Arabidopsis thaliana: one gene and its partner. The protein of the gene in region 1 interacts with the protein of each later gene in a pairwise test. Each region holds a gene or a part of one and is shown in the gene's direction. Other genes may lie near its edges.

Region 1 (6,378 bases):
TTTACCCATCATCCTAGCTCTCTAATTTGCTCTTCTCGATACAATTTGGAGTCCACTGGTGGTGAGTCCTCCTTTTCTCTTGCTTGAGATTGGATAATCAAAGCGGTGGTGGATTATTACTTACTTGTATACTTGTTTTTGTGTACCAGAATCCTTGAGATATCTCTCAATGTATGATAATCGGATCCTACGCTACTTTAAAGGGCATAAAGACAGGTCTGCTTATAACCTCTGGAATTGTGAATTTGGATTTTACTAGTATGTACATTGATGATGGAAAATGTTCTTCTGTTTCAGGGTTGTATCACTTTGTATGTCTCCTATAAATGATAGCTTCATGTCTGGTTCTCTCGACCGAAGTGTTAGACTCTGGGATCTTCGTGTAAATGCCTGCCAGGTTGGTTTCTATAGTTTTACACTCTGAGAAGGCTAGATGGAATAAGTCTTAATATGCTAGAGTTTTAATGAGAAAAGTGCCTTTTTCTTTTTGTTAGCAAAAACCTCGTGATATATCACCTTGAAAGTTAAACTTGATGAAGATGCTGGAACCACGAAACATTGAGAATATTTAGGCTCTTTACCTTAATACTCTCTCTGTGAATTTATATGGTTTCATGATCTATGCTTACCCTTTTAGTCAATAGGGAATTCTACATCTACGTGGTAGACCTGCAGTTGCGTATGACCAACAAGGCCTTGTGTTTGCAATTGCAATGGAAGGAGGTGCTGTTAAATTATTTGATTCCAGGTGTTATGACAAGGTTAGCTTCTTACAATGATTCACACAGCCTTACGCATGACTGCTCTTGTTAGTTCTAACTTCTAAACCCAATTGATCTCTTATGTAGGGTCCCTTTGACACATTTCTGGTGGGTGGGGATACTGCTGAGGTTAACGATATAAAATTCAGCAACGATGGGAAATCCATGCTCCTAACGACTACAAATAACAATATCTACGTTCTTGATGCATATCGTGGAGAGAAGGTAATCACGTTCTCTATCTTTCACCTGAAGAAGACAGAACGTTAGGTTTCAAGTTGGTAAAAGACGGTATGTTATTTTGCAGAAATGTGGTTTTAGTTTGGAGCCTTCACAGGGTACACCCATAGAGGCCACCTTCACACCAGATGGCAAGTATGTTCTGTCAGGTAATACGCGTTCCTAGATGATCTTTTATCATGACTCATCTACACAATATTCAAATTTAATCAGCTTAGTTTTCTTTTTCGGATACAGGTTCAGGTGATGGAACCTTACATGCGTGGAACATCGAGAACCCATCTGAGGTAAAGTGCAGAATAATCAACACCACTAGGACACTGATTCACTTAAAAGTGATGAATAATTTATAAAGTTGTAGATACTATTTTTGCGTTATGCTTTCACAGTATTTAAATTTTAGTGGGGATTTTGTGTAAAAAGCAGGTGGCGAGGTGGGAGAACAACATAGGAGTAGTGTCGTGTCTGAAATGGGCACCACGTAGAGCCATGTTCGTTGCTGCTTCTACGGTTCTCACATTCTGGATCCCAAACGACGGTGAATCACCAGCCCCCGCCGATCCTCCTACCGATCAACAACAGTGACGACATATATGTTTCCATTATGCACTTGTGTATCGTTTTTTAATGTTGACAATTAGAAAAATTTGGAAGCAGTAGTATGTTAATCAAATTTAGAGTTTATGAATTTGAGTCTAGATGGTTACAATATGTTTTCTTTAATGACTATTTACTCTTATTTTACGTAAAAAAGATATGGATGAATACATACATCAATGTTCACGTAAACTGGAAAAGATTTCACGAACCATGATCCTAATAAAAAACCCAGAAGAACAAACAACAATGAGCATATTGGGCCTTAAAAGCCCATGGTATAATAAACCTGAGAAGAAGTCAAATAGGTCATAAGAAGCCCATTATATCGTCCTCTTGTACCCCGACTTTTAACAAATCGTTTTGGCTAAAACCCTAATTCTCTGTCTCTCTTTTTCCTCTCCGCGTCTCTCGTTCCTTCTCTGGTGGCGTTTTCACCATGCCGAAGCATTACAGACCAACGGTGAGTGTTTCTCTTTGATTGAAGCTCTATTCTCCCCAATATTCGTTGTTCAACAACTGTTGTAATCTATTTTCGTCTTTCCCTTTGCTCGAAAAACTTTGGAGCTGGTTCTTTCTTGTTTCTGAGATGAATTTGGTTATGTTTGTCATTTGTAGGGGAAAAAGAAGGAAGGAAATGCGGCTAGGTATATGACCAGGTCGCAAGCTCTTAAACATCTTCAAGTTAACTTGAATCTATTCAGGTTCACTCTCTTTCTTCTTTATCCTTCAACTTTTCACTGTTTTTCTTCGAGTTATTGTTCGGACAAGCATATGTGTGCACTAGGTTTTTTTCAGATGCTTCGTGTTTTGTCAATTTATCTTAGAATTGATATCGAGATTGTGTTATGTTCCTAGCTAGGTTTTTACTTAGAAATTCTCTGGTTATCAGTAGGTGACTAATTTGTTATTATTGTACCTGCCGATTATGTATTTCAGGAGACTATGTATTGTCAAAGGTATATTTCCCCGAGAACCAAAGAAGAAGATTAAGGGAAACCATCACACTTACTACCATGTCAAGGACATTGCTTTCCTCATGCACGAGCCTCTTCTTGAGAAGTTTAGGGAAATCAAAACATACCAAAAGAAGGTCAAAAAAGCCAAGGCCAAGAAAAACGAGGAGCTTGCACGCCTTCTGCTCACCCGCCAACCTACTTACAAGCTTGATAGATTGATCCGTGAGAGGTTTGCTTGACACACTTGAATTTATTATACAGTTGTGTTTGAACATCCATGAGTTTTAGACTGTTAACTCTCATTTCTATTTATGTTATTAATGTTTAGGTATCCAACATTTATTGATGCACTGCGAGACTTGGATGACTGTCTCACTATGGTTCATCTTTTTGCGGTGTTACCTGCATCAGACAGGGAAAATCTTGAAGTTAAGCGAGTCCACAACTGTCGAAGGTCAGAATCTTATACTTTCTCTTGGACCCTTGTGTCTTGACTTATTGACGGCTTCTTTTAGTTTCATATTTTTAATCTGACTCTGTGCTTCTTTTGTGAATCAGATTGACCCATGAATGGCAAGCTTACATTTCACGTTCTCATGCGTTACGTAAAGTGTTTGTGTCTGTCAAGGGTATTTACTATCAGGTATTGTTTTACTTTATCTTGAGAGCTTATAATGGGATTAGTAGATTACTTCCTCTTTAATGAAACTTTGGTAATATTATCTTGATAGGCTGAAATAGAAGGTCAAAAGATCACTTGGTTGACCCCTCATGCAATCCAACAAGTTTTTACAAATGATGTTGACTTTGGTGTCCTGCTTACCTTCTTGGAATTTTACGAGGTGAGAACTTCTAATATCTATTCATTCCCCCTTTTCCTTAATAATTTAATGTTTGGACTTTTGCTGACAAATTTTCATTCACCTTTTGATGCAGACTCTTCTTGCCTTTATTAACTTCAAGCTTTACCATTCTCTGAATGTTAAATACCCGCCAATCCTTGACTCTCGGTTGGAGGCTTTGGCTGCAGGTACGTTGTCCTCCTCCAAGAAGCAATTATTTTCCTCAAGAGATATCTTTCATATGGGAGTTCATATGTAACCATTAGAACGTGTCACCTATTACTCTGATTAATATATATTTGTTTATGTCTTCAATGTTGCAGATCTCTATGCACTGTCTAGATACATAGATGCCAGCTCCAGAGGCATGGCGGTGGAACCCAAAGTTGATGCTTCATTTAGCTCACAGTCAAATGACCGTGAAGAGTCTGAACTTAGACTTGCACAGCTTCAGCACCAGCTGCCTTCAAGTGAGCCTGGAGCATTGATGCATCTGGTTGCAGATAACAATAAAGAGGTTGAAGAGGATGAAGAAACAAGAGTGTGCAAGTCACTCTTCAAGGATCTGAAGTTTTTCTTGAGCCGTGAGGTATCTTTTTGATTCATTCTTTCTGAGCCACTTCTTATCACTGAATTTTGTTCTAAAATAGTAAATCATTGGCAAATTTTAACTGTTATGGACAAAACATACTCATTTGCTACTAAACTGATTCAGTAATTTACCAAATAAAATGGTAATTTTTCTATAGCCTAAATCTCTGACATGTCTATAATGTTCAAAGACTCTTACTTAAAGACAAACCATTTGTAAGTAACGGCATTTAAAAAAAAAATGATTCTTATACGTACTTAGTGGTGAGGGAACCTAGAACTACTGTGTAGTCCTAACCAAAGTTGTGTCAATGATTGTAAATTGCATTCCATGTTTTGATATTTGGAAGATCTGTGTTCTTGAGTGTCTCCTCACAGTGACCTAGAAGATCATTAAATTGTTTCATGACTGGGGCCTGTCTATTGTATAATAATTTTGTATACTTGTGTAGGTTCCAAGAGAGTCCCTGCAATTGGTGATTACTGCTTTTGGTGGGATGGTGTCTTGGGAAGGAGAAGGTGCACCTTTCAAGGAGGATGATGAGAGTATTACACATCATGTAAGCTATTTAGCTTGATTATTAATATTACGATTGTGTCTAGATAGATAGTCTCAAGAACATACATTATACTTCTGTAGATCATCGATAAGCCAAGCGCTGGCCATTTGTACCTTTCTAGGGTATATGTGCAACCACAGTGGATCTATGACTGTGTGAATGCTCGCATAATCTTGCCAACTGAAAAGTACTTGGTCGGAAGGTAACACACTCGAAGACTTTGCTTATTTCTTTTTTCACTACCATGTTTTGTTTTACTCAGCTGTTTGTATATGTATTGTGTGCTTTTCTACAAGCAGAATTCCACCGCCACACTTGTCACCATTTGTGGACAATGAAGCAGAAGGATACGTTCCTGATTATGCCGAAACCATCAAAAGACTACAGGCAGCAGCAAGAAACGAAGTGCTTCCATTGCCAGGTGTTGGGAAAGAGGATCTTGAAGATCCTCAAAATTTATTGTACGCTGGTGTTATGAGTCGTGCGGAGGAAGCCGAAGCTGCAAAGAACAAGAAGAAGGTTTGACTTTGCTGATATATAAGCAATTCAAGCCTGTCAAACTTTTGTATGCGTTGATTAAGTTGTTAACTTTGTGGGTTATTTTATGTAGATGGCGGCGCAGGAGAAGCAATACCATGAGGAACTGAAGATGGAAATAAATGGAAGTAAGGATGTTGTAGCGCCTGTGTTGGCTGAAGGTGAGGGTGAAGAATCAGTTCCGGATGCTATGCAAATAGCTCAAGAGGACGCTGATATGCCCAAAGTGTTGATGTCCCGTAAGAAGAGGAAGCTCTACGATGCCATGAAGGTATGTACCCATTTACATTTACCATTTTTTTTTTTTTTATATAGTTTCTATAGGTCTGTAAGAGCATAGCAATGAAAGGGTCTCTTAGTGTTTGTAAGTTGATGTTAATTTGGTGTATTGTGAAATGGTATCTGCAGATTTCGCAGTCAAGGAAGAGATCAGGTGTTGAAATAATCGAGCAGCGCAAGAAAAGGTTGAATGATACTCAACCATCATCATGATAACTTGTTTTTATATTTTTGTTTACATTTCTGTTTCTTCAGAAGGCTTTTTCTTAAGTTATGTATCATCATCATTAGTCTTTCGCGACATGTACTTCCAAATTTTTTAAAAAGTTTTGATTTTGATTTTTATACGTCCAACTATACTGAAGTTTTAGACTAAATTTTATGAATCTATTGCGTACGTCTTAACTTTGTTACATGAATAATGTAAGAGTAAGACAATGATTTTCTTAAAGACAACGGCGCTGTACAACATAGAATATCAAAAGTACATTTCAATTTTATAATATTTGATCTCTTTTTTTTCTTGATGCATGAGTACGCCTAAAGAAATAATCTTATCTACCTAATAATTACTAAAAAATGGTAACAATAATAGACTTGAATGGGAATTTTCTAGTTGGAGACGTTCTTACAATTTACAAACTCGGTATCGTTTACAATGTATTTTAGTCAGCAAGTTTATTTGATAACAAGTTGTATATTGTATAGTTTTCGTTGGAAATATATAATTTTAAAAATGTATATACTGTACGTATTTCTGAATTCCATACTTGTAACCGAAGAAAATTTAAGCACTTTTTTCTTACACACATATTCGAACTAGGGACCAATGGGGATAGAAACTTGATCATATTCCTGTCCTAACCAAAAGAGAAGGATGTAAAACATTAAAATAAAAAAATATGTTATTTTCTATTGAAAATTTTGCATTTATAGACGACTAAAATATAAAAAACACACCCAAATATTATTTTTCACGTGATGGTCATTATTTTTGCAATTTATAAACTTA
Region 2 (5,643 bases), 380 kb from region 1:
TAAGCAAAAATAGTTCGTAGTTAACAAAGTTTGACCACCACTCTTTTACCAAAAAAACAAAATTGACCACTCCACCACTTTTAGCAAAAAGTAAGTAATCTCGAGAAGGAAAAAAACAAAAGTCATTAGTATGGGTTAAAAACTTAAATACATGTACTAATCAACAAGAAAATAAATTTGGTGATTTTATTATATAAAGTATGGTTTTCAAAGTTGCTAACTCATAGGATTGTGCCACGTGTCAAGTCAAACGATCAGATGTTTACATGTGTCATTCAAAATTTAACTTTTTAATTCTCTAAAAAAATAGAAAATCTTAAAAAGTAAACAAATTTACATATACTAATTTATATGTCTATATATTTATAAACAATTAACATTTATTCAACAAAAGGAAAATTAACAAATTTGTCTTTAACTCATGTAATCATAAGTGAAAATAGAACATTTTGAGAAAAATAGCTTAGCTTACAGGACTTAACTTTTCAATTATTTTTATTTATTAATTTTAACTCATTTAATATTAATTTGCATGATGTAAAATTAACTTACGAGATTACGGCATATATAGAAAATATATTTTCAACAATGTTTGGTTTCTAAATATTTTTGTGGATTTTTTTTATATTAATTATTAGCCCTAGGCGTTTGGGTTTTCGGGTCGGGTATTTAGGGTTCGGGTTTTCGGGTTTAGAAGTTTAGGACCCGTTCGGGTAATTTAAGGTTTCGGGACATTTATTCAACAAAAAGAAAATTAACAAATTTGTCTTTAACTCATGTAATCATAAGTGAAAATAAAACATTTTGAGAAAAATAGTTTAGCTTACAGGATTTAACTTTTCAATTATTTTCATTTATTAACTTTAACTCATTTAATATTAATTTGCATGATGTAAAATTAACTTACGAGATTACGCCATATATAGAAAATATATTTTTTAACAATGTTTGGTTTCTAAATTTTTTTGTGGATTTCTTTTTTCTATTAATTATTAGCCCTGGGCGTTTGGGTATTCAGGTCGGGTATTTCGGGTTAGGGTTTTCGGGTTTAGAAGTTTAGGACCCGTTCGGGTAATTTAAGATTCCGGGTCGGGTTCGGGTTCGGATTCGAGTTTATTTATATATTGAAATATCAAATTTTGTGTGCAAATCTATTAAATTACTTGAAAATTTCAAAAATTCCCAAAACAACACGAGTAGTTTTGCTTGAATATATCTAAAATGACACAAAAATAACTAAAATATCCAAATAATCCTAATATTTTCTATATATAAGTATAAATATAACTAATATATACTTATATTTGAAATATGTTTGGATATCTATTCGGGTTCGGGTTCGAGTTTTTCGGGTTTTGAAGTTTAGACCCGTTCAAGTATTTGAAAATTTTCGGTACACCCGCCTAAATAGGCGGGCCTTATCTAGTGTTTATATAAAAGATAAGAAAAATATTTTACTCGGTTCAGTTTGATTATTTCAATTTTCTTTGGTTTGGTTTGGTTTGGTTTATATAAAAGTATAAACAGAGGCCTGAGCCGGCCCATCTTAAAGATCCAAATGCTTTGGGCCCAAAATTGATCTCTTCTCACTCGTCGAACCACATATTTCTCTGGTTTGAGTAGCCTCGGTATGATCTAAACCGGAAAAGGAGGTCAATTCCGTAATTTTAAATTTCCTTAAACCCTGTGCCTGGGTGAAATTTCCACACTTCATCGCCTCAAGGCAGAACCCTAATTTATCTCCGCGTCTTCTTTTTGCTCAGTAACAGGCCATCGGAGAAGTTAAGAGGCTAAAATGGATATCGACGGAGAAGATGTATCTAGAAGACTTCACGTTAAGTTCGTGACGAAGCTTGACTCTCCCTTCAAAGTTCCGGTCAACTCCGTCGCAATCCCTTCTAATGTCACTCGTCTCGGCCTCTCTTCCATCGTCAATTCTATTATCGAATCCGGTAGCCTTTTCTCTCCATCTCTCCCTGCAGTTTCGAATGCTAGTATTTATTCGTCTTTGTCTTTAAATTTGTCAAATCCTAAGTGTTACTTGGAATAGTGGTCTCTTTCTCATACGAGAGTTTGTTAGGTCTGCTTAGGAACTTGTTTGTACTTATGAATTAGAGAGCTTACATAAAAGCATATATTATTGTTCTACCTGTGATTATGCAATATTCATCACTGAGACTTTTTGGATGAACAGAGAATCCAGAGTGGAAAACTGAGCCGTTTGATTTCCTTATTGATGGGGAGCTTATTCGGATGTCACTCGAAGAGTTTCTTCTTGCAAAGGGAATATCGGCGGTAATGTGTTTCATCTTAATCTTCCACTATTCACACCAGCTAGTGTACTTGGAATTAGTCCATAGTGCTTTATCTTGGAAACATATACTTAATTAAGTTCATTGGTTCTTACAGGAGCGTACTCTTGAAATCGAATACATAAGGGCTGTGACACCACGGAAGGAAGAAGAACCCTCCTTGCATGATGATTGGGTCAGTGCGGTTAATGGTTCTTCTCCCAGGTAATATTTTTTCCTACTGCATTACTTTATGATGTAGAATTTCCTTTAAGCTGCTAGATGTCTTTTACTATTTCTTCTGTGACACCAGTAATTTGAATTAAAAACTCTTATTCATTTTTACGCACAACCACCTTGCCATATGGAAAATCATAGACCTGTATCTTTGTTTAATATATTCGACTGCCATATCATATGTTGTTAGAATTAGTCTTCATTTGTTCCAATTCAAGGCCATCCAGTGATCCGGATGATATCTAAGGATGAATATAGTCATTTGTTCTTGGTTTTAATGATTGTGTTAGTGGTTCTCTTGATCTCGCTGTTGTTATTTGCAGGTTCATTTTGACTGGGTGCTATGACGGATTAGGAAGGTGATCATTTGACTTATTTATTTAATCTTATATGCTTTTGATTATTTTCTATCCTTTTGTATTGCTTTCAAAATTTGCAAGAATCTTAGATTACTTGGTTTTTCTTCTGATCAGGGTATGGAGTTCGGCTGGATCGTGTTCACACATATTAGAAGGCCACTCCGGGGCTATCTCCTCTGTTGCTTTAGTTAATTCCAACGGTATGACCATCGCATGAGAAATCTATACTATGCCTGTTCTGTACTAGCAAATGATACTAACAAGAATAAATTTTCCCTTTTTTGGCTCATTGATCAATTCTTTGTTTTTCTTTGTGTTGATTTGTGCATCCAGATGCAGAAACTGTTACTGTAGCCACTGCCTCTAAAGATCGGACATTGAGATTGTTTAAGGTAATCACGGATGAGATATCATACTTAAAACCAAAGGTTTATTTTACGTCTAAGTAAAGATATCTCTCCCTGTCTGAAGTTTGATCCAGCTGAGTCTGTTGACTCTACTACGAAAGTAAGGGCATACAAGATATTGCGTGGACACAAGGCGTCAGTTCAAAGTGTTTCAGCTCAGAAATCCGGAAACATGGTTTGCTGTTACTCCTTTCACTTAACTTGTGTTTTGCAAGTATAATTTTGTTGCTATATTTCTTCGAGCTAAGCTGACCCCCTTTTTTTGTTGTATAATGGAATTTAGGTTTGCTCGAGTTCATGGGATTGCACCATCAATTTATGGAACACAAATGAATCTACTTCAGAAGGGGAGTCAGTATCAGTAAAGAAAAGAAAAGGAAATAATCAGGCCGAGGAATCTCAGTCAGAGGTACCGGATAATATGCATTCTTTTGAAACGTACTATCTACTCTTCAAATCAAAATAGAGAAATGTACTCCCAGTTGTGTTTTTCTGAGTTCCAAGTGTCTGATATCAATTACGATATTGAACTTCTTACAGGGAGAGGCAGTGACTTCTTTGGTTGGACACACACAGTGTGTATCATCAGTTGTTTGGCCAGAGCATGATGTAATTTATTCCTCTTCGTGGGACCATTCCGTTAGGAGATGGGATGTTGAGACAGGGAAAGATTCTTTGAACTTGGTATGCCTTCTCTCTCTCCTTTTCTTTCGTAAATATTAGGGCACACACCAGACATGTTGTTGCCGAAAAATCAGTGCTTTTGAAGTTGTTTTCGCCGGAAACTTAAAGCCGGTTTGTTTCTGTGAAATTGTAGTTCTGTGGAAAAGCTCTCAACACGGTAGATGTTGGTGGTGAAAGTTCTGCCCTTATAGCTGCTGGTGGCTCAGATCCAATCCTTAGAGTATGGGATCCTCGTAAGCCAGGTGATAGATCCATATGAACACACACCAAGTCAATATAACCAGACCGGTTTTTTATTACACAGTTGATAAACTGTCTTCATTTACTCTGTAGGAACATCCGCTCCCGTGTTTCAGTTCTCTTCACACTCATCATGGATTTCCGCCTGTAAGTGGCACAAAAGCTCTTGGTTTCACTTGCTCTCCGCTTCCTACGACGGCAAAATCATGCTCTGGGATCTCAGAACCGCTGTAATGACAAAGCACACACACTCCTTTCCGTTATAACCCACGGTTTTCTATCTTTAAAAACTAATCTTCTTCCTCCTTTTGCAGTGGCCTTTGTCAGTAATTGATACACACAATGACAAGGTAAAGTAAACACAATGTTATCTTCCAGCTTCTACTCTTTTAGTTCTTCTTGTTACTGAAATGGTATAAAACAACTTGGTTTTAAAGGTTTTATCTGCTGACTGGTGGAAAGGAGAGAGTGTAGTCAGCGGAGGAGCAGACTCTAACTTGCGAATTTCTTCCGGAATCGCAATTTCTTAAAAGGTATGAAATCCGAAATCTTTTGACCATTTCTTTTCTTACATGAAATGTGGAGCAATGAAACATTTACTCAGTTCCGTACGATGTCTGAGAAAATTCGATTCTTTTCTTACTCAGAAACACAAACGATTCATGATCCTGGAATGAGACTGTTGTAAGTTCTGCTGAATAGAGCTTATTGTCTTCAAGGTTGTATACTCTTCATATTCCGAAATGTTAAATCTTAATTATACTTTTGGTGGGAAGCAAATTTTGTTTTTATTGTCTGATAACGACCATTTAAAATCAAGAGCTATTTACTTATGTTGTCTGCCGTGCTAAATACTAAATTAGTTTGCTTTTCTTTGGCCGAAAAATAAAATAGCATCAACTACAAAACTCTACTATCTTCGTTCCCCAATAATACAATTCCAAACCATGTGCTGAAAATTATCGAATACATTGGCAAAAAAGGACTATATTAAATAATTCCCAATCAAAAGTTAATCTTGCCATCGTAAGGTTGTTTGAAGTTTGAACTGCCAATTAGGTGGAGCAACATCATGAAAGCCCAAACATTTCCTATCACTTGTAGTGACATTATAGGACAAACTCTCTCCGGTTAGCTTCAAATTAGTATCCCAATCCTGTCCCCAATGCCAATGCATCTGAAACCAACCACCTCTCTTCGAACCTTCCACCTTAAGCTACATCACCAACATGTTCAACGTTGTAAACAAAAACCATCAAGAAATAAGGATATATCTTCCTAAGCGTTTTGAATATTGGGACCGATGAACTCGATCTCGACTCGGTTTGGATCAATCTCATCGGTCCCAATATTGAATGAGCTAATAGAGGTTCTTTCAAAAGAGCTTTTAGACACCAATTATCTAAGCTTTTCCAAAGATGCAAC

Evidence for each region.
Region 2: the proteins of AT5G14520 (region 1) and AT5G15550 interact in a two-hybrid assay, tested with the Arabidopsis thaliana proteins (one study listed by BioGRID).

What each region holds. Positions count from the first base shown.
Region 1 is NC_003076.8:4,679,990-4,686,367, reverse strand, and holds AT5G14520 (pescadillo-like protein), read left to right. Parts: upstream 1-1,895; 5' UTR 1,896-2,037; coding exon 2,038-2,061; intron 2,062-2,216; coding exon 2,217-2,302; intron 2,303-2,537; coding exon 2,538-2,786; intron 2,787-2,885; coding exon 2,886-3,011; intron 3,012-3,115; coding exon 3,116-3,200; intron 3,201-3,288; coding exon 3,289-3,399; intron 3,400-3,493; coding exon 3,494-3,587; intron 3,588-3,722; coding exon 3,723-3,988; intron 3,989-4,442; coding exon 4,443-4,550; intron 4,551-4,630; coding exon 4,631-4,752; intron 4,753-4,849; coding exon 4,850-5,069; intron 5,070-5,160; coding exon 5,161-5,358; intron 5,359-5,495; coding exon 5,496-5,579; 3' UTR 5,580-5,828; downstream 5,829-6,378. Other genes in the region: AT5G14530 (Transducin/WD40 repeat-like superfamily protein), read left to right, coding at 1-61, 150-216, 298-397, 645-761, 849-986, 1,069-1,150, 1,239-1,288, 1,428-1,586. UniProt on the Arabidopsis thaliana protein: Required for maturation of ribosomal RNAs and formation of the large ribosomal subunit. Plays an essential role in cell growth and survival through its regulation of ribosome biogenesis and mitotic progression.
Region 2 is NC_003076.8:5,058,156-5,063,798, reverse strand, and holds AT5G15550 (Transducin/WD40 repeat-like superfamily protein), read left to right. Parts: upstream 1-1,654; 5' UTR 1,655-1,795; coding exon 1,796-1,952; intron 1,953-2,194; coding exon 2,195-2,295; intron 2,296-2,409; coding exon 2,410-2,516; intron 2,517-2,851; coding exon 2,852-2,887; intron 2,888-3,001; coding exon 3,002-3,087; intron 3,088-3,220; coding exon 3,221-3,279; intron 3,280-3,358; coding exon 3,359-3,469; intron 3,470-3,577; coding exon 3,578-3,703; intron 3,704-3,834; coding exon 3,835-3,978; intron 3,979-4,111; coding exon 4,112-4,220; intron 4,221-4,311; coding exon 4,312-4,448; coding exon of another isoform or gene 4,449-4,484; exon of another isoform or gene 4,485-4,532; coding exon 4,533-4,568; intron 4,569-4,655; coding exon 4,656-4,748; 3' UTR 4,749-4,751; exon of another isoform or gene 4,752-4,865; 3' UTR 4,866-5,100; downstream 5,101-5,643. UniProt on the Arabidopsis thaliana protein: Required for maturation of ribosomal RNAs and formation of the large ribosomal subunit.